Zea mays: one gene and its partners. The protein of the gene in region 3 binds, or shares a complex with, the protein of the main gene of each other region. Links are inferred from orthologs where the notes say so. Each region holds a gene or a part of one and is shown on either strand. Other genes may lie near its edges.

Region 1 (6,996 bases), on a different chromosome or scaffold from region 3:
CTCATGCACATTGACCCTGGAAACGAGAGAGGAACAGGGCAGGCAACACAGGAAAGGCAGGATCGTTGCATTGCCACGCCTTTTTTTTTTTCTTCCAGAAAGAACGTGACACCGGAATGATCCGTCGCCTTTAAACGTTCACTGGAGTTAAAGGGATGCCGCCGGGGATGGTGGTCAGTAGCCTTTTCCCCTTGTCCTAGCCTGCCCTAGCTAGCGTTTGGATTCAGGAATTCCGTGGCGCTTCGAAGCTGTGATTGGCCGTCAGCGTTGGTGTCATGCGTAATCCTGTCAATAATGGCTGCATAAAGTACTGTCCTTGCGAGGATAGGCTCGAACCATTAATGAACTCTGGTCCCTGTGAACTCTTGAAACCGAAGGTATAAGTATAACCAGAACCATGTAGAGTGCTCACCTTTTGCCTTGCCTCGTGGATTTTGTCATGCCATATAGCTCCTAGGGTCTACTCGGTTTCATCAAAATCCATATAGATTTGAGGAAATTAGATGAATTTCAATCCATAGCAAGTCAAAGTTCTTCATAAATTTTTTTTCCAATATCTTTCAATCTATGGGGCATAGGATCAGTGGCGGAGACAGGCCTATGTGCAGGAGAGCCTAGGCCCTACTTTTGGACCAAATAGTCTCTAAAGGTCCATATACCAACCAGTATGATTAGCTGTGACTGCTGTCAAGAGAGCTAGCTTTTGATGTTTAAAGGTCCATACATCGTTTTTAGTGTTATATCTAATCCTATATTTAGAGAGACCCTAGCTCCGCCAATGCATAGGATTAACCAGACAAGACTTTAGCTGGACTCTTACTGGCCCGAGTAGAAGATGACGGGTGGGAATTTTAAAGGTTAGCGAAGTTCCGTAGCAAGTCAAAAGATTAGCGAAGATCCATACCAAAGTCAGAAGCCCCCTGCCTGTAATCAATTATAGGTTTGGTTTAGCAATATATGTCCTCCTCTATGATTTTTTTCCCAATTCCTTTGTCACTAAACGAGACCTTAATTTTACCGGTCCAACGCGATCTGTAGCAGCAGCCCGTTTGGTACACTTTCCATCTCATTAATTAAAAAATGCAGAATATGGTAGAAGAAACGAAAGCGACCAAGTGAACAACTTGAGACTTCTTTTAATTACAGGGCAATAATTCATCAACATGGTAGTATTTCTTTCTGGACTTCGAGTTACCCACTTGACCTACGATAATCCTATTCGGTCGAGCTAATTATCAGTAACCCCATAGAGATATAACTAATAATTAGTTGGTCTATTAGATCAGGGCCGGGCCAGATGCATGTGCCACAAGTGCGACCTCACAGAGCCTAAAATTCTGAGGGGTCTAAAAAATTTCTTAGCTCAGTAGTAAACCTAAATAATATGCATCAATAAGCAGACTAACATTATATCATCTAAGCTGAACTCAGTTAGCAGCTAGCCTATTGCTCTTCAAACACATCTATTAATACGTATGTTTATTTATATACTCTATTACAATATAATTTCGTAAAAAATAGATAGATTTAAAAGAGTTATCTAGTAAATCTTTTACAATTTAGAATACATAAATTCTATTACAATGTAATTTCAATTATATTTTTTCTATAAAATATGACATCTTTTGAAGTTTAGTACAGGGCCTTTAAATTTGTCGGCCCGCCCCTGTATTAGATGACACGCTCTAAACCTCTCAGCCAATTTTAGTCGCTAACTATTGGTTTTAGAGGTCTGGAACATTGCCCTGGCTTGTTTGTTTATTTCTACAGTATTTTTTTATCTCACAAATCTCATCATGAAAATCGCTTGGGATGATAATCCACTCACTCGGACGTGACAGACGAGGTTCATTTTATCTGTCCTGTTTCGCGAAATCAACTTGACCTACGTGGTACGGCAACGGCTAGCCAATGATACGTACGGGTAAACTTACCAGTTACCGTCCGGATTGTTAAACCATATCGTTGCGCCGGCCATGGCTTTGTTAATCCTTGTGAAACCTTCGTCAGCAGAAAAAATGGTTGTGAACTGAACTCGGGATGAAGTCAGCGCTTCCCTTCCTGCAAATGAAAACGCTGAGATGGACCTTGGCTTAGGGACTTTGCGATTGTAAATGTCTGTGTCGATGACCATGCAATGCAAACAGGAATTGGAGAGTGACCAGACTGTGCAAGATTTTTTTAAAAAAAAAAATTAAATCCCTGATGCCTGATGGTGGGTTGGTGGCCTAAATATGATACTGGGGCTAGTCCCTTTCAGAAATCCAAGCTGCGTTGAAGAAAAAAAAGATGGAGTGCCGTAAGTTTTTATGAATTTTTTTTCAAAAAAAGATGTGGGGACGAATTTGGTTCACGCTGAGCGATTAACAAATCCAAGTCAATCGTGGACCATGGTACATCGGTACGGCTGATGACATATAAACACAGATTTCTGGTGGTGTGCCATAGACGAAAGCAAGGACACAATTAATCAGTGTGGTCATGTGGTAAGTACATACTGATCACTTTGTCAACATGGAGGAAACAAGGGACCTAGAGAAGTGTCCATAGAGATGTTCTCCTAGGGCCAGGGGGTGATTTGACAATTCGCCACCCAGGGAAGGTGAGCTGCCTCCTTTAGAATGGTATGTAGAAAACAAAAAACTCATGATGTTTGCCCAATCATCCTTGGGCCCCATAGGGTTACAGATGATTGACAGTTTGTACAAATAAAAGCGCATGGGCAAAACGACTTGTGTCTGGATTCTCTCAGTGACAATGGTAATTGAGAAATATACTAGTCATAGTAGCAGTACTTAATAGTAATACATCCCATCGATCTGATCGGGCAAGAATGCCAACATGCCCATCCATTCCACGCGATCCCTCCCTAGTTCCGTACAAGTTGGCCTAATCCAGTCTACTCCTCTCTGGTCGAAGGAGCCATTCCAGCTGAAGGGCTGTCTGCGAAGTACTCCGCGTGTTTCAAGTTCACGCCGTGCTGCAGAGAGATGGCTCATGTGAGTATCAGGGTATATAAGGATCACACATGGAGCAAAAGCTGATGTGCTGGAAAGTAATACGGTGACCATGCGAAACCAATGAATGAAGATTTTTTGAGTTAGGATTCTATTTATCAGTTACTACTCCATTCTCCCAACAATGATGCCATGAGATGATGTTAGGTATTGGAGGTACTACACAAGTCACCTTCAAAACTAAACAAAAACAGGGTTTTTACCAAATATAATTTCGAGAAGGGTGCCTGGATGTTGGACGCTGAAGATTCTATCAACATTATAAACTTTGTATTTGATATAAAGTACAGGACAATGCCTTTGTGCAAGGTTTGGGTATAACAGACTTATTTTGGAATGTAAGAAAGAATAACACCCCCCCCCCAACCACCACCACCACCGCCATGCTTAATAGCACTGGCATGGTACTGAATTCTGCAGGGATTGTACTGTTTTCAGTGAAATTCCTAGGTTGTAGATTCCGGAAGTGCTTATTTCCATGCATATAATGGTCTTCTTGTCGATGGGTAAACCATTAAACCTATAAAGGAGGAAGCTCAGAATATGCAATGTTCGATTGACAATCTGAAATCTGATTAGCTGCTCAAATTCATTTAATGACTGTGATATCCACTATTACACATTCGATTTAAATGGGAGATGAATTGTGCCTTCAGATTTTAGCAACATCCAGATCCCACTTTTCTTTCTTACTACAACGACAGTAAGGTTGACAGTTATAAGGTTTAACCAGTACAGGCAAAGAAAACCACACTAGTCTGATCTCCATATGACCTTGTATATTTAGGTCCATGCACAATATCGGATGGTGTGTGCCTCACTCTTGCAAAAAGATACAGGTCATATGGGCACTGGCGCACTGCCATTGGGTTGCTGGAATGGATCATATATCTAGTCTAAAGGAACTCAATCATCATTATGATCTGGCGATCACTAATATGCAATCAGACCTAATGTGCAAGTAAGCATCTTGGTCTGTTAGATCATGATTCAACCGTATGTCACATTTAACACTTAAATCCTTCCAAGACCAGCTCGTGTGTGTGTAAAACAAACCACAGTTATATATACGGTTGGATCATGACCTAACGGGCCAGAAAGCTCGCTTGCATATAATGACTGATTGCATATTAGTCATCGCCTTAAAATCTACTGTGCAGCACATGCTATTTGCTTAAATATCTATCCTCCATTGTCAAGTTTTTATTCGTGTGCTCTGTTCTTAACTGCCGCTAACAGGTGGTTTTCCTTATGAATTTTTGGAAATTTGTGAGGAGCAAGAGCATATCAAACTGGATCTACATAACTGTGTAAGTTTAAGAAAACAGTGGGGAGATTCAATTTCAAGTCCTGAAAAAACAGTGTCTAAACCAAACAATGTGCTCCTGACTGATTTTAAGAAAACAGATCTACCCAACTGGTTGGAATACAGAAGATAGTAAATGGTAAGCTGCTGCCAACAAAAATAAAAATTTGCAAACTGCAGAACTAAATGGAAACGTAGTTACCTCGCGCAAAGCTTTAGAAAGATCATCCATGGTTAATACAAGACGTCTATCCTGAAAGTAACATTTTTTAGGAAAAATGTGATAAGTAATCAGTAAGGATACTAAACAAGATTTAACGCTAGGAACACGAAAAGTTCAACTAGTGAGTAAATACACCTTCGGCTGTTTGCTCTTATTGTCTTTGATAGGTGCTGCTACCCTGGCCTTGCAGTGCCTAGTTCAAGGGAAAGAATAATGTAACAGCAAAGTTAGTACACACAAATACAGTGTGTATAATACATATCGCTAAGAAAATGTTAAAATAGTTTGTTATATAGTGAACAGTAGAGCACATCATACACTGACAAAAAAAACCAACAAAATAAGACCCTGGCAAACTTACGCAATATAATCCGAAAGATCCCATCCTCCCCGCACAATGGATCTGTTTTTCCACGGGCTTTGTAAATCACAATGCCTTTCAGGGTTATTAAGACCCCCTCCCCTGGACCCTGGTAAATAATCAGCTTGGCACCTGTTCTAGTCATTTAGCAATTCCTGCAGCTCAGTTGCCATAGCTGTCTAGGCTAAATGTGATTGCCAGATTGCTGACTGCAGAATGTGCATTTCAGGTCGTGTCAAACTAGGAGCCTCTCCAGCAGGCGCTAGCCTGCTGCCACTACAACCTCAAATCGCACCTTGCTAAGGCACATGATGTGATACATGAGCCTATCATGATGATTGATTAGGTATCCTTCAGTTAATTAGGTATGCTTTTAATTCGTAACTCATGATGATGATGATACCAAAAAAACCCTAATTGACCTGTTTCCTAATTTTAGTATGCTTTAGTTATTCATCACTTGATTAGTCAGACCACATAAAGAATGAGCCATTGGTAATATAATTACAAATAACAACAACAAAGCCTTTTAGTCTCAAGTAAGTTGGGATAGGCTAGAGTTGAAACCATACAGGTTTAGGCACATGGATAGCTGTTTTTCATACACTCCTATACAAGTAATATAATTACAGAATCTCCGCAAAATCAGGCATACACTTTGTAAGTGTATCTTGTATGTTTTTTAAAAAACTTTGAAGATAATTGCATGTTACACAGTTACTCAATATAGGGATATGTTTCATTTTTTGAAAAAGTAAATGATATGGAACATAAAATATGTAGTAAGATATATAATGTAGAATAAGAGGTAAATACAAGCATCGATGGGCCACATTAACTATTAGCAGCCACCCCACTAACTCATTAGAACCCAATTAACCCAACAGCCCATAAAGCAACACCCTACACTCTCCCCTCAATCCCTAATCCACCAATTCCTCACTTGATGCTGTTTGCCTGTTTACATCAGTCCTTTCCAATGCCGTCTTTGAGCAACGACAAGCCTGGCTGCCCCAAGAGCACACCTCCCAGATTGAGGGCCAACGCCACCCCTTTTGAAATAGAGCTCTACTCATGCAGATTGTGCACTGGTGCTGCCCCCTTCAGATCGAGCTATACAGTTGACCAGTGAAGATCTGCAAGACCACAGGCGCCGGAGCCAACAGAGATGGGCGAGGGCAGGTGCAGGTGCAGGTGCAGCCTTGCCTGGTTCTCTTCATGCTCTTCCTTTCTTTAGCCTCTCCTTCCCTTCCTGTATCAATGGCTCCAGTGCGCATATACATGGTCACCCCCACATATCCAGCATACTCCCTCCTCTCCCTTTCTATCCAGATGCGCCTACCACTGCCTGAAACTTCTCCTTCCTCCCACTTTTTCCGCTTTCCTCACTTATCTGTGCTCTCAAATTGACCACCACTGCCGTCACCTTCCAGATTGACTGTGTCACAGCTGACCGGAGCAAGTTCTGTGCCAGCCACTGGTGTTGGATCCAGCAGGGATGGCAGCAGCTCGGGTTCTTGACCTAGATGCCCTCCCCCCCCTCTGTCTCTATATTTATATTTGATCATGGCGATAGGGATGCCTAGATTTCCAGCGAGCCATATCACGTAAGCGGCACCTTAAAAACCATGTCTCAATGAATAATTTCATTGGGGAGGGATTTTGATTGAAGCCTAATAAACATAACCATGTCTCGATGAATAATTTCACAAGTACATGCAATTAGGGAGGGATTTTGATTGAAGCCTAACAAACTTGTTCAACCAGACAAAAACATGGAATTGCAGTATTGCACAGAAGATTTGCATTCCCATGGAATAAAAGAATGATACTGTTTCATTCATGAATATGCTATCATCATTGAAATTAAGAAGAGAATCCTTTACTTTGCAATAACGAGACTATGAATTTACTCACTGAAGAGAATCGCTAGCAATGTCTGATAGGAACTTCTGGGTGGCTACAGCAACCAGTCTCGTTCTGTAAAACACGAATTCAGATTATGTGTGCAAGAAATCAAGCAATTTGTGTTATTAACTTTAATCCATGGCACTGATCAGATCTCAGCTTACTATTATCCATCAGGAAG
Region 2 (7,567 bases), about 50 Mb from region 3:
CAAACACAAGTACCAAAGCTTTTTAAACTGAACGGCAGATTCTCGAAGGAAAAACTAACTGTCAAATTATTTTCCATGTACTGGTTGGTTCCTTAGAGCTGGTCTCGGGAGGAGAAGGACCACTGCCTGGAGGAGACGGAGAAGTCGTTCTCTTACTCAGGAGGCCTCCTCCGCCATATATTCACCTGATCTATCATTGCCGGTTGATCCAGTCATAAACGCTGTAAATACATAGTCCTCTTGACTGTTAAAACTTTATTACTGGTGAGGGGGATCTCCTCCCCCAGGTACGGTTTACCTGCATTCAAGTTGCCCAGTGTCTTACTTGATTTCTGGTGTTTGGTGTTTCTGTGATGCAATCTGTATTCTGTAGGTCGTTTCATGACTAATAGAGTCGACCCCTTCCAATGTCGTCAATGGCAAGAGCTCTTCCAATCAACATGCCTAGCCTAGCGTATTCGTTTTGTAGTGTGCGTACGTGAGTGCTTAGTACAGTACCAAATATAAATACTTCTTTGTGTTTTCTGTATTTTATAGGTAGGTGCCCGTGCGATGCCACGGAACATAAATTGCGAACCTCCAATGGACTTCATTTGAGACAAGTGATGCCCAAGAAAATGGGGGTAAACTGACACAGCTATCACTTGCATTACTTGCCCTATGCGCGGAAGAATCTGACACAGCTATCACCCATGAAGATTTCCGGTTAACTTGTGGAACCGGACTTCATTTGAGACAAGACAACAATACCAGTGTTGAGCTTGCCACTCGGCCATGGCACACATGAGAACACGGGATGATCAAGTAAGAACTGAACAGAATGCACTAATACAAAACGCTGGCTTGCGTTCGCTTCCTTGCTCCATAGGAAGCATAGCTGATATACAAATCGAGAAGTTTTACATATAGACTTCCCAATATGTAAATGGAGAAGTTTTTATACAAATCGAGAAGTTATAAAAATCGAGAAGTTTTACCTAGGAAGCATAGCTCCACAGTAAGAACTGAACAGAATCCAGTTTTACACGAAAACACGAGAGCAGGACCTTTTTTACTCTATATGTAAAACTTCTCGATTTGTATATCAGCTATGCTTCCTGTGGAGCAAGGAAGCGAACGCAAGACAGCCTTTTGTATTAGTGCATTCTGTTCAGTTCTTACTTGATCATCCCGTGTTCTCGCGTGTGCCATGGCCGAGTGGCAAGCTCAACACTGGTATTGTTGTCTTGTCTCAAATGAAGTCCGGTTCCACAAGTTAACCGGAAATCTTCATGGGTGATAGCTGTGTCAGATTCTTCCGCGCATAGGGCAATTAATGCAAGTGATAGCTGTGTCAGTTTACCCCCATTTTCTTGGGCATCACTTGTCTCAAATAAAGTCCATTGGAGGTTTGCAATTTATGTTCCGTGGCATCGCACGGGCACCTACCTAGTTACTAATGATGCATTAATAATGACTTGTTTATTTTATTGTTTTTAAAAATATGTAGGATAGGTAATTACATGTAATATCTAAAAGTTAAAAGCATCATCTATTTAGAAACTAAGGTAGGTAGCAGCAGCCAAAAAAAAAAACTGAGGCGCTGCTGATCTTTCCGCAGTGATCTGCGCGTACCTGGAAGGGGATCTAGCGAGGATCTGGCTGTCGATCCTCGTGTTCGTGGGCAGCCAGCTCGTTCTGCCGCTGGTGTCCTCGCTAGAGAAGAACAGGCTCAGCTACGCTACTACCGGAATCGTGATGGTTGTCCCGACCACGTTCGTCGCAACTACGTCCCGAACTCGTCCTCCATGGCTACTGATGACATCGTGGTAAGTGCACACATTAACACGCGTGGCATGGCTTCCCACTCTTCGTTGACCTGACGCATTACTCAGGTGCCGTTCTCGTGGGCGAAGACCTCCATAAAGACGACGACAGGGTGAAAGAGGACTTGACTAAGCGCATATGGTCTTTGAGCATATAGACTAGTGGAATAGCCAGGAGATAAGTGACACTCCATCCCTGAAGGACTGGAGAATGATAATGATACCCAAATTTCAAGAACTGAGCTTCTAATGTTTCCAAAGTTTCTGTACGCTTACTAACCTGACAGATATACTAACGAGTGACTGTTGGTAAGCGTACAACAACATCGGAATTTGGTTAACCTGCTGACAGCTGTAGCGGGAATACACCAGACGTTCCCATAGAGTTGGAAAATGGCAAGCGCTTACAAAAGCAAACTATGCCATCTGAATGCCAACGCCATCATAAATAGCATGCATTGGATAGCAGCACAGCACAGCAACTGAGTAAACTACAACTTCAGTCACATTACTTTGACAATGTCAAACCGGGTTTCGTGAACTCTTCAAAACATCCCTAGTTGTACAACAGCGTAGAATAATAAAACCTAGAGTCTATGCATTTCCTCTCTCTCTCTCTCTCTACACAAACAAGGATATCTCTGGTGGTTGGACAAAGGAGAAGATGGCTTCCCCGAAGACCTCGTACAGAGACCCCAAGAGATGACCGGTGTCCTGGTCCTCCTTCCAGGCTTGCCTAAGCACTGCAGAAACTCTCTGCGCGAGATCACTGCCCTGATCCCTCCGGACCGCAGCTGATGGGATGCTCTCCACCGTCTGCCCAGAGGACGAGGCCTGCATCATGCCAGGGTTGCCTAACTGGTTGGGAAAGCCATCCATGGCACCTTGCATGTTTCCTCCCATGGAAGCTGAGGCCATGGAGTTGGCTGTTGCGTCCGTTGCCATCTTCTTCAGAGGTGGCTGAGTTGCAGAGAGATCTGTGCTAGATTTTCGCTTATCTGAAATTTGCAGCGCAACATAATCTTTACTTTCAAACTCGACTAATCCAACTGCTGACAGTAAGAACCACTTTGCACTTAATTGCCAGTCAACACGTGTCTAGTGGCATATATTCAACTGATACTGTGCTTATATTCAACACTCACTTGGGTTGTTGGTTAAGACCCTTTTGTTGCTCTGTAAAAGAGGCCGCATCGACGGAGAAAGCAAACCAGGAAATAGTTTCAACCGATCATACAAGCATTTGCCTGCAGCACACTAAAAAAATGCATTCCACTGGTAAGAAACTTGGCCTGGCATTAGTTGGTGAACCAAAATACGATAAATATTATATTGACTGAGAACTCTGAACTGACCAGCAAGGCACCATAAACACGCCAAGCTTCCTTCCTTTTCATCTCGTTTTTCTGCTTCTCAAGCTGCAGTTCCGGCTCCAGAAGTTGCATATATGTCACAAGGTTGGGCAAAAGAAGGAGTCTAATCTGGTAAGCAGAAAAAACAATCAGCCAGTGCATAGGACAGACCCAGTGTTGGCGGCTCCCACATAAGTGGGATCTGAGGAAGGAATAACTAATACAAAAAAAAAAGAGTTTCAAATGGGATCTACCGCGCTGGGCCCCAGTGCAGATATCCCTTGGACAGCACCATAATGTTGTGTCAGTGATTTGGCAGGATCAAGAAATGCATGGATCAATGTTTTAGTTAACCGATTTTGAAGGTTGTGATAGACATGACCAAACCTGAAACCATCATCTTCAGTTGGTCAACAATGTCATGAGAAAATTATTAAGGCAATTAGCCAAATACTACATACAGAAAATATCAATTAGCAAAGAGAGCTAGAGATCATCATTCAGAAAATACACACACTCCATGAGCAGAGCATGCAAAAGGCTATAAATCTATCAATTCCAAAAGAAAATGGATGCATGGAAACACATAAGGCAAGATCAAGTCATGACCCACCCAACAAATGCATGAAGATAGAACTGAAATAAATCTTCTGTCCACACACAGCATAGTGAAAATATCTATTTACCAGTTGGTCTCTAAAAGGAACACTATGTAGTCTACTCAGTAGCAAAGCCATGCAATGGTTTATTGGTATGTTTTCCACTAAGATGTAAGCTTCCATGAAACTTATCATGTCACATATGACATGATCCCGCAAAATAGGTAAAATCTTATATACGGAAGAAAGAGCATGAAATGGTGGTCAAACTATTATTGACTTGACCTTCATCTTAAACCTGTCGAAAAGATACCATATTAGCATAACTAAGATAAAGCACTTTTATGGGCACATAACTGTTCTTTAAGGTCATAATATGAGAATCAAGGAATTGAAATCACAAATGCAATTGAATTAAATTTTGATAATTATACAAAGATTTACTGACACCCTTCACATATCACTCACCTCTGACATACCAAGGCAACCAAATTGGCAGAGAAGTCCCTAAGTTCCCAGTGGTTATCTGAGAGCCTATGCCCTAGCCTTTTCGCAACAATGCAAGTGATCATTGATGGCATCAGCTGGTGCAACTACAGATCAAGACAAATGCTGCTAATTTAGTACTAATACGGCGAAAAGAATATATAAAATGGCAAAAAAATAAGTCGCGCACATGAACTATCAAAACCTTATGGTTTACTACTTACATAAGGTTCAATATGAATATGTGGATTACGGAGAAGACTTTGGACTACTCTCATTAGAGCAAGTAAAACAGGAAGATCACCCAAACTCCGGGTAACCTGAAATTCAAATGGATACACACTAAGTAATGTCATATAAAAAGAAACCCACCAAAAGCAAGAAAGCTACTGTACAACCTCGTCTGCAATGAAGTAGGAAAAGTAAGGAACTAAAGGATGAAGACCAGAATCTTTTGCCAAGCTCACTAAAGCTTCTTTAAAAAGGGACGTATCAGATCTACTCATAGTAAGTTCAGCTATTTTATCAAAGTACATCTGCAAAACCAAACAGTGAATAGACATATAAGTTTCTTGAAAATATATGCGTAATATACAATGCACGGTATCATAATCAAAGTACCTGTAGTTCTCTAGATAATACATGCTTAACAGGAAGCTTGACATCAGCTGGAAGTCCATCATCTTTCCCATGCTCAGACCTTTTATTTTCAGTTGGTGGTACAATTGCTGAAATAAAATGATAATTGGCACAACAAGTATTTTTCTCTCAATATTGGAGAAGAATGTGACTACATCTTGCTAAGGAGAAAAGTAATGACTATAAATCTCTGGACAAAAAGGGCAGACCGTCAATAGCAGGATTCTCCGGTATTGCAGGCTGTACCCCCTCAATCGCTAGCCAATGGGCTACAACTGATGTGTCCAGTGGGGCTTTAGGCAGAGGACAGTCAATAATCTGCATGACACGAACCAGGAAGAAACATTTCAAATGAATGGTTTTGAAATAAGTGGTACGAAAATTTAATAATCATTAATAATGCCACTACCTCTTTGAAGTCTACCTCCCGATCATCAAGATAGAAGAGATCCTTATGTCCAACAGCTCTCTTAAAACGTAATGGATCACCAGAGGCAAATCCATATACGGGCTGATTGAGAACCCATGGACCATGGTAATGAAACAGCAGGGTCAGTTCAAACAAAATAAAGTGTAGCAGAGGAGTTAGACACTTCAATATAAAAGTATGACAAAAATTGCATAAGGAAGGCAGTTTCACAAAAACAGAAGCTAATCAAACAGCTCTACATGCTGAGAAAATTCTAGTAAGAAAACTACATCTATGAACTGAGGAACCAATATTACAACTGTAGTAAAAACAAATATGTACCAGTAAAGCAAAACCATTTTTCCTAAAGATTTCTGAAATGAAATTTCAAGATTACAAATATATGGAAGCATCATTCAAAAACTACTTGTTCGATTGTTTACTGAACCAAATATGCAAGTGGAAGGTGTAAGTTGAATACCATTTACATACCATGAAGACACTTGTCGAAATCTAAAAGTGGATTGTAGTAATGTAGTTACACGCTTTTGAAGTTCTAAACATGATTCGGAAAAACAATACAACGAAAAAAGGATCTTAAATTTATTAGCTAACAATTCACAAGTGCATAGTAGACCTACAAACATATGTTGCAAGTATCCAAAAAAATAGCATAGAAAGGTAATTCACCTCAACATTCCTGAGGCCCAGGGCACTGTCAACATCATCCGCCGTCAGAACAGTCCGCTTTGCATGCCGCATACATTTAATGGATTCCTGAGGCAAAAACACATAAAATGGGATCATCAGAATGGCAATTGAGGTAGTAAAACTGCAAGGTTTCATGAAGACTTGCATGATTATAAGCTTAGCATAAATTAGCGCAAGTGGCAAAAAGGGAACAGACAGTATCCACAAAGAAGTGAATTATGAAAACACTAGATAATGAAATATCAGGCCATAGGACACTCTTCTGTTATCAAACCCCACTAGTACTTCGACAAAATTTTGAGATCCAACTAAGTTCTACATCCCTAAAGGGAAAGAATTGTATAGACTCAACAAATTAAGCAGCATAACTCGAATTACCAGTAGAAAGAAAATAAAAAAATGACTTCACCAGTTGTGCCAGTGGAAAAACAAACAACATCTCACTTGGCAAGTTCATCCCACCATGCAGCCCTCAAAATTCCATTCCACATCATAAACAAGCACACCCTAGAACTAAAGATACTGATTTCATACAGTTGCTCGGGAGACAGTGGCGGAGCTAGGGGCATTTGTTGGTGTCATCTGACACCGATGGATTTTGTAAAACCAATAGAGAAACATTATAATATACTGCTTTATAGTTACATGATCCTATACTCTAATGGCGATGAGACCGGTAACGTTCTTAGCTAGCTTCGCCCTTGTCGGGAGATGAATCCAAACAAATGGCATGTACTTGGTTGGGAAGATGGTGAGAATGCAAGCAATCTCGCTGAGAAGCTACGGAAAACAGGGGGCAATTCCAGCCCAGACTCTTAGTATCCCGGAAAATTAAATAATGCTGATCGCATAGAGTCATTAATTTGGCCGAAGCACACAGCCTGCACTTAGCTCAGATGTACAAAAAAAATTATCGCTTGAGCATCTCCAACAATGCCTCAAACTGGTGCCTCAAATTGAAATATGAGGCTCTACGCAGGAAAAACTACTCCGGCAGTGCCTCATTTTATAAAATTTGGTCAAAAAAATTATAGTGCACCCTCTCGAGTGCCTCAAATATACTACACCGTAGTGGACTGCCCTATAATCTAGATTTGAGGCTTTACTGTTGGAGCGGAATGTTTTGTTGGTACTCTAAATTCTATAAAATATACTTACTTTAAAATTTAGGGTATTTTTATAGGTCACGTTGTTGGAGATGCTCAAAGCATCTCCAACAATGCCTTAAATTGGTGTCTCAAATTGAAATGTGGGGCTCTACACAGGAAAAACTACTCTAACAGTGTCTCATTTTATAAAATTTAGTCAATAAATTATAAGACACCCTCTCAAGTGCCTCGGGTATACTACACCGTAATGAGTTGCCTTGTAATCTAGATTGAAGGTTTTACTATTGGAACAGAAAGTTTTATTGAAGCCCTAAATTCTATAAAATATACTCAATTTTAAATTAATTGACATTTTTATAGGTCGCTGGAGATGCTTAGCCAACCAAATTCACCGCCACTGCTACAATTCCAAGGACAACCCTAGGGCGACGGCACGGAAATCAACCCTCCCAATTCA
Region 3 (7,883 bases):
ATCTCATATAGACTAAGTTACCCAGTGGGCAAGGGGAATCGCCATGGAGTCGGCTGACTTTTCTGGACCATGTCACATCCAAGGATCAACAGGCCGAGGGGGGTATTCAATATAAATCAACTGACATAGGAAATGCGTATCATTTCATTAATAGGAGAAAAAAGGAATACAAAAAAACTCATACACACACACAACCCGAGACCCACACACACCCTCACACAAGGACTAAAAACATCCGCGCCTGTTACAAGGGAAACACGACCAGGGCATGGCAGCTACTAATTACCTCGGACGCGCAGGAGAGCTGTGTATCATTTCATTAATAGGAGAAAAAAGGAATACAAAAAACTCATACACACACACAACCCGAGACCCCACACACCCTCACACAAGGACTAAAAACATCCGCGCCTGTTACAAGGGAAACACGAGCAGGGCATGGCAGCTACTAATTACCCTGTACAAGTTTTCTTTCTGTTGATACCAAATAGTGATCCTTATCTCCCGATATTAATCGGGAATGAATACATATGAAGGTTATCTGTAGTCTCTCTAAAGCATAGAGTGCATCAATGAACTGATACTGAATAAAACTAGTGATGTTCCGGATTACTGAATACTTGAGTAAAACACCATATGAGACAAAAAGTAAGGTACCTGATTAGTACAAGCGACGAAATTACTTGTAAGATTCCAGCTAGTGATTTGCAGTTCCCTCTCGATATGTGATGCAGCAGCAAGCTCAATAGCCTCATCAGGAAGCTGATTCATGGCAGAAGCCAATCCAACAGGCTGAGTAAGCTTCAGAATTCCTAAGCGCTTGAGACGATACAAACCAGCTTGCATACTTTCATAACAGCAAACCTGGATAATGATATTTTAGTTGAGTCGTCGTCATATTTTCGGATTGAAAAGAGAACTGTTATTAAACACCAAGTCAAGAAGGTAAGGCAACCTTCAAAGAATAAACCTCATTATTTAGGTATTGGTGCTTTCAATAGAACTTTCTATAAGAAAAATATATTCTCAGTCAACTTACTCTGATGACCCAATTTTTAAAGACATTTCATCCTATAGATTTGGAAATGTGGGTATGGCATAATAACCAGCGCTTGTGGTCCATATATAAGCCAGCACAGCGTAATAAGCACTCGCATTTCCACGACGTGCAAAATAAAGCATTTCTTCAAAAGATAAAGCTTGTCATCCAGTTCTGTTGTTGTATTGGCGATTGACAAAAGACTTGACAGGTTTTTAGTGAAAGGAGCGTTGAAAAGGTTTGGAGCGACAGCATGCAAGACCTTTGAAGCATGATAGTTGTTGTCAAAGTTGGTGCCATTTAGTCTTGGTAGATGTTTGGTTCTTAGTTGTGATAGTTGCTTAGTTGGTTAGCAGGAGTATGAGTTGTTTAGTGGTTTGGCCATTTCATTTTAGTTGGCTCATTGTTTGTTTTTCTGAGCGGCTAGTGGTGTTGAGTTTGTCCTTGGAGAACTTCTGTTGTTTTAGTAGTTGTGTTTGGGGGAGATGTTGTTGGGTTTTTGGGCCTGGTTTCCCTAAAAGAACTGGACCAATACTTCTTTCTGTTTCTTCTTCTGATAAAACTTGTAGCAACGCTTTTGCCATCCTTTCGTGGAAAAAACATGTCAACAAGAAACAATTGATTGAGATTAACATGAGGGCAATAATAATTTGCAGAAACTCACACTTTCTGGCGTCAATAATCTCCTCAGTTCTTCTTCTGATGGAACCCGGAAATCAGGTCTCTGTGTCCAGAAAAAATGCCCCTTTGGTCCTTTCTGTAAGGAAGTGCAGGAGATCATTAAATATGGTTGAATAAGAGTCCAGAATAAAAATATACAGATAAAGAAACTATGAATAAAATGTGTGATAGACAGATACCTTCAAATCTGCACAATGCTTCAATCGTTTTTTCACTATGGCTTCTGTCAGAGGACTTTGTATGGGTAACTCGTCAGCTCGAATCTGAGGAATAGCATCAGGCCTCTCTCTAGCACGAAACTCACGATAAACATATGCAAGAACTCGGTTCAGAAGATAATTTTGCATGTTCTTAGTCCCTGGTGAAAAGACTTCCATATGAGGTTCCTGCAAGAAACCATGACTATTATCCTAGGGATGAAATCGTTAAAGCTCCAATACAGAACAGCTCCTAAACACTGATGATTTATTTCCAATGTATTGTTCTAACAACAGCAGAAAATGGCAAGAACTCGAGGAGTATTCTTGACACAAAAAAACAAAAAACTCAAGGAGTATTATATTTGTTTGAAAAAAAAGTGGATACAGAACATAGTTTCTTCAAATTTTACGCAGAAATCAATAACCATATACCAGTCATATTTGTAATGCTCACGTTCAGATATTCTCATGTACTTCTGTTCTCACATGCTGACAACAAACTGCCAACGTGTAGGATCATTCAACAAATGCATGACATGCTAAAACTGCGCCAAAGAAGCTTCTAAACATGCAACACACTACAATACTACATTACTGAACTTCATAGCAGATTTTATCAATAAAAGAAATTGAATTTCCCTGCCAAGCATAAATGCAAAACATGATGGACGAGAGCTATCTCTACCACTGTAACAAAGGAATATCCAATGTTTCAGCTATGTTCACTAAAGCTGTAAAGCCTAAAGGTCCCACACAGAAACAATCACAAGCTAAACCTAAGCAATGAATATTTCAGAACATGGTCTGCAGTGCAAAGCTTGGGAATGCACCACAGCGGAGAATTCAGTGAGGGGATCATATCCTTGACAATATGAAAAACTTCAGATAGGGAAGGGTTGGAAACATTGCACATCCTGCTTATACAGAACATAGTATTTCAGGCACCAGAGCTTACTTGTTGGCCAACAACATATAGCTTGTCAATGCGACGGAGGGAAAGAGCCCCTTTGGCTGAACGAACTAATAAGTAATCAGTTGGTGCAACCTTATGGGGAAATACAGGTGATCTATACATGTTTGTTTCAAGACAAGATTGGTGGGACCCAGAATGTATCTCTCCTAGAAAAGGGGATTTATCAGCAGGATCAATTGCAAGCACTGTGCCCAGTCCATCACTGTTGTTTCGCAGTGATGCAGCTGTCTGATCAGTAGGGGTAGTTTTCTGGTAATATGTACAGAGACGGGCTCCCATTCCTGCATTCGAGAGAAGCAAAGGTCTCTCTTCACAATATCTGCACTCAGGGCAATAAACAACAGATGAATTACTACAGTGGCGAAAAAACATAATCAAAATTTGACAATGTGCATAACCAACATAGCCTTGCACATATAAACATAATGATAAGCACTTGGCCAAAATAGAAGTAAAAAGAATAAAAAAATCACTGTAAAGTATCAGAGCTCTTAGCCTACCCCAACTTGCTTGGGACTAAAAGGCTTTGTAGTAGTTGTTGATGTTGTAAAGTATCAGAGCTCTCTATTCACAGTATCTACAGTCATGTGTTAATAACACATGTGCTACCATGATAGAAAGTCCCAATACCAACAAGCAAATCACAATTCACAAGCAGAAATACCTACCCAAGAAGCTACCTCCCATATACTCCCTCCATTACTGTAAGGTGCATCATCTAAAAGTTCAAACATTGTAATTCCTCCACCCAAAAATATAAGCCATCATTTGACTGTCTAAGTTCAAGTTTAGTCTATAAATTAATATAAGGATCTATGATGTATGTGATCAAATCATAGAAAATCCGTTGGAGTAGTATTCAAAGGTACATAGAATTGTGACTTAGTAACTATTAATAAAATATTATAAATCTCAACCAAAGTTTGCAACACTATCAGTACAGCTATGTGATGAAGTAACTTCTAGCTAATAAGTCGGTTGACTATATATGAGTTCAATGAGATACAAAACTGGTAGAAAAAATCCATATTTCAATGTGAATTCTTATAGTTACAATTTTGTAGGTCATAAATAATTCAAGAGATATCTATGACCAAATTTCAACTAACAGACCATGGCACATCAAAAGTTGTGTAATACCACTTCGTTGAACTAGCAACTAACATTCAAAAAATCAGCGCCTATATAAAGTCATATGCATTAAAGTTCATTGAAATTATAACTTCAATATACAATAAGGGGGAATAAATTGGACTTACTCCATTAAAAAAACATGTCCATCCTTGATAGACAAGTCAGTTTTTTTCCTGAAAGCCCCAGGAGGGCGTAGAGGCTTGTCCTCACCAGGTAATTTCTGTGCTTTTGGCCATAGGTACACTTCAGTGCGAACAGCATGCACAATGGAGTTTGGTCGCACATTTTGCATTGCTAACGAGATGTCATCCTGAAGCTCTTTCCCAGAACAGAACAATTTGATCTTCTCAGAAGGCTTCAATTCTGCAAAAAGCTAAGGTGGTGAGTGTTAGAATATGCTATACATAGGCTACAAACTTAGTTGTCCAAGATCCTCTTGGGCTAGAATAGAAACCGACTCGGATTAGAGGTTAGAGATAAAACAGAACAGGACTGCATGCATCCAGTTCATTTAGAGTTAGAGTCGGTTAGGATGCTGTTAGCAATAGAGATAGCGCAAAATAATAGATTGATTAATTGGAGAGACCTATATAGATAGATAAATAGGTAAGGGAAATGAGATCTCGTTTGTGCTTCTGGAAATTACTCAGCTAGCTCCGCGTACAGGGCTTTTTTTCAGGGGTCATTGGCCCTGTTTCACTGTTTGTTTCAGCTTTTTTCAACTTTTGGCCACCAGAAGCTGCTGCAAACTGTCAAATGCCCAGCTTTTCAGCCCGCTTCTATGAAAATCACTTTAGTCAAAATTGTTAAAATAAACGTGAACACAGAATCGGTCGAGTCGTTGTGATAGTAGGAAACCGTCACTTTCTACATCCTAAATTCTATGGACTCTTTTATCTTCCTCCGCATGTAATCTCCACAATACTCAGATTCTCTCCACAGCCAGATTCTCAGAAAAGCCCCTCAGAAATAAGCTGAGCCAAACAGGCCCCTAAAACCCTAAACGTAATGGGTAACCGACAGCCAGATTCTCAGAAAAGCCCCTCAGAAATTAGGTGTCGTTTGGTTCACATATTGGTAACGTAATGGGTAACCGACAACGTTAAATCATGTTTGTTTAAGTCTAACGGTAATCGAATATCACACTAAAAATGGATACCGGCCTATTCATATTTGTTACCGCAGGTATTCAAGTGTGAATAATTATCATTACCATTTACGTTACATTTCGCGAACCAAACTGCACCTTAGTTGCTGCTCTTCGGGTGGCTAGAGACAAGGCTTTGTGTTTGTCTTTGGCTGGTGATAAAGCTCTGTCTGGTTTCTTCCATATAGACGAGCTGCTGACCTAGTGGTAGGTGGTGTGGCAGGAGTCTGCTCTCCCTTGTGTGGTCGGAGTCTGCTCTCCCTAGTTCCCGGTGTGTCTCGGGAATTGTTTGTATTTTGGGGATCTTCCCCCTTCTCTCTTTCTTCTTAATACAAAAATGTGCAGTTCTCCTGCGTATTCCAGAGAAAAAAATGATATCTCGTGGCTTATAGAAACAGAACCAAACAAGATCTCCCTGTATCTCTAACCATATACACACACACCATATATGACTCTAACATATACAGGGGCCGACCTGCTATACCTAGCAGGTATCCATACCACATATACACACAGACACACCATATATGGTAATCTAACACCCTTGTAGTCATAGCATTGATGAGGCAAACGTTGAGACTGGACCGAAATTCCATGAAGACATAAGCTAGCAGCTCTTTGGTCCCTCAAACATCACAGACAGCAATGCAGCAAAACCTTCAGATGATTCAGTATCATCAGAGTGCTCGGTTTCATCAGGACCAACAGCTCCAGCTAAACGACCTCCCATTCCCGTTGTTTACACAAATCAGCATCATCGAGCAAGATTACAAGATAGAAAAACTATTGTGTTTTACCACCATTGGTGAACCTCAAGACCTGTCTGAAGCTCTAGGTGATGATAATTGAAAGAATGCTGAATTTGACGCGCTGATGAAAAATAACACTTGACATCTAGTTCCTGCTGATGTGGCCAAGAATGCTATTGATTGCAAGTGAGTATATAGAATCAAACAGAAGGCAGCCAAAATGTTGGATAGATATAAAGCCAGGCTGGTGGCAAAGGGTTTTAAACAGCGATATGGCATAAATTATGAGACATTCAATCTTGTGGTCAAAGCGACTACTATCAGGATAGTTCTACCCTTAGAGGATGGATATTGAGGCAACTTGATGTTCAAAATACGCTTTTTCATGACATTCTGAAGGAGGAAGTCTACATGAAGCAACCACCCCACCAGGATATGAGAGCACATCACAGCCTAATCATGTGTAAGCTAGCGAAAGCTATTTATGGTCTGACGCAAACTCCAAGGGCCTATTATTCTCGACTTGGTGATAAATTATAGCATCTAGATTTTCAGGCTTCAAAGGTGGATACTTCTTTGTTCTTTTATACCAAGGGAAGTGTCTCAATATTTCTCTTGGTCTATGTCGATGAAATTGTAGTTGCTAGCTCTTCACAGGATGGTATTGTTGCTATGCTTCGAGATTTGAGTTTAGAGTTTGCATTGAAGGACCTAGGGCAGCTCCACTACTTCCTTAGAATTGATGTACAAAAAACTGGTGATGGTATTCACTTGTCTCAGACTAAGTATGCTTCAGATTTGCTTGGTAGAGTTAGAATGATGAATTGCAAGCCTATTGCGACTCCGCTCCATGCTTGAGAAAAGTTAAGAATTGGTGAAGGTAAACTACTAGAGTCAGAGGATGCAACAAGGTACAGAAGCATTGATGGTGCCTTACAGTATTTGTATTAGACACGACCTAACTTGAGTTGAGTTGACGTGGGTCCAATCACTTTGGTTCATGGCCGTATGAAACATGTTGAGATTGATTTTTATTTTTTGAGAGAAAGAATAGTTAAAGGACTTTTGGAGGTCCAAATTACGGGCATGTTTGGTTCGCTGCCTAACTTGCCACACTTTGCCTAACTTTTTTGCCTAAGGTTACGGTCTGTTTGGTTTCCTACCTAAGGCGCCACAATCTGCCTAAGCTTAGGCGCTCGAATTGAAGAACTAAGCTTAGGCAGGAAAGTTAGGCACATTGTGACGCTTTAGGCCGCAAACCAAACAGCCCCTTAGTTCTTCAATTCGGACGACTAACCTTAGGCAAAGTGTGGCACAGTTAGCCACAAACCAAACAGGCCCTACATCTACAAAGGACCAAGTTGCAGGCAGCAGATGGCTTTACTAAGCCACTAACTATGCAAAAACTAGTTTCATTCAGAGACAATCTTAACTGGTGCAAGTTATGGTCGAGGAGAGTGTTAGAATATGCTATACATAGGCTACGACCTTAGCTGTCCAAGATCCTCTTGGGCTAGATTAGAAATCGACTCCCATTAGAGATTAGAGATAAAACAGAACAAGATGTATGTCTAGTTCATTTAGAGTCAGAGTCGGTTGAGATGTTGTAACCGAGTAGGATTCCTTTTATAATAGTCAATTATGTTGCCTGTATAAATATATAACATCATCGACCCTAGAGGTCAAGGCAAGCAATTTAATATCCTGGTGTCGTGTTTCTTTCAGTAAGAAAACTAATTAAACTGGAGGAAATGACCATTTGTGTTTCCTTTGGGGGGGGGGGGGGGGGGGGGGGGGGCTTAAATTACATAGTATATGTATTAGCTAGCAAACAACTGGTCGATAAAAAGAAGATAGCTTAACAAAAAGTTCCAAATAAAGAAAAAAACAAAAACAATGAGGGTAGTAAATGGATACCAACCGAACTTCTTTGATGCTTTTAATTTGACAGAGACCGGAG

Evidence for each region.
Region 1: transcription initiation factor TFIID subunit 1 (region 3) and transcription initiation factor TFIID subunit 10 share a complex: the UniProt entries of both Arabidopsis thaliana proteins name them as parts of the TFIID complex. The link is inferred for Zea mays from reciprocal best matches to the Arabidopsis thaliana genes HAF01 and TAFII15.
Region 2: transcription initiation factor TFIID subunit 1 (region 3) and Transcription initiation factor TFIID subunit 6 share a complex: the UniProt entries of both Arabidopsis thaliana proteins name them as parts of the TFIID complex. The link is inferred for Zea mays from reciprocal best matches to the Arabidopsis thaliana genes HAF01 and TAFII59.

The regions. Positions count from the first base shown.
Region 1 is NC_050102.1:124,189,150-124,196,145, forward strand, and holds the end of transcription initiation factor TFIID subunit 10, read right to left. Parts: intron 6,888-6,996; coding exon 6,825-6,887; exon of another isoform or gene 4,908-6,824; intron 4,740-4,907; coding exon 4,682-4,739; intron 4,577-4,681; coding exon 4,526-4,576; intron 3,538-4,525; coding exon of another isoform or gene 3,532-3,537; exon of another isoform or gene 2,981-3,531; coding exon 2,900-2,980; 3' UTR 2,446-2,899; downstream 1-2,445. UniProt on the Arabidopsis thaliana protein: TAFs are components of the transcription factor IID (TFIID) complex that is essential for mediating regulation of RNA polymerase transcription.
Region 2 is NC_050104.1:148,197,416-148,204,982, reverse strand, and holds the end of Transcription initiation factor TFIID subunit 6, read right to left. Parts: intron 6,068-7,567; coding exon 5,981-6,067; intron 5,393-5,980; coding exon 5,291-5,392; intron 5,200-5,290; coding exon 5,091-5,199; intron 4,971-5,090; coding exon 4,864-4,970; intron 4,779-4,863; coding exon 4,641-4,778; intron 4,563-4,640; coding exon 4,467-4,562; intron 4,350-4,466; coding exon 4,225-4,349; intron 3,545-4,224; coding exon 3,412-3,544; intron 3,287-3,411; coding exon 3,161-3,286; intron 3,063-3,160; coding exon 2,951-3,062; intron 2,804-2,950; coding exon 2,427-2,803; 3' UTR 2,290-2,426; downstream 1-2,289. UniProt on the Arabidopsis thaliana protein: TAFs are components of the transcription factor IID (TFIID) complex that is essential for mediating regulation of RNA polymerase transcription. Required for proper pollen function. May stabilize the interaction of TFIID with selected promoters.
Region 3 is NC_050104.1:98,696,228-98,704,110, reverse strand, and holds part of transcription initiation factor TFIID subunit 1, read right to left. Parts: coding exon 7,845-7,883; intron 4,391-7,844; coding exon 4,153-4,390; intron 3,213-4,152; coding exon 2,876-3,212; intron 2,107-2,875; coding exon 1,900-2,106; intron 1,797-1,899; coding exon 1,704-1,796; intron 865-1,703; coding exon 658-864; intron 1-657. UniProt on the Arabidopsis thaliana protein: TAFs are components of the transcription factor IID (TFIID) complex that is essential for mediating regulation of RNA polymerase transcription. Core scaffold of the TFIID complex.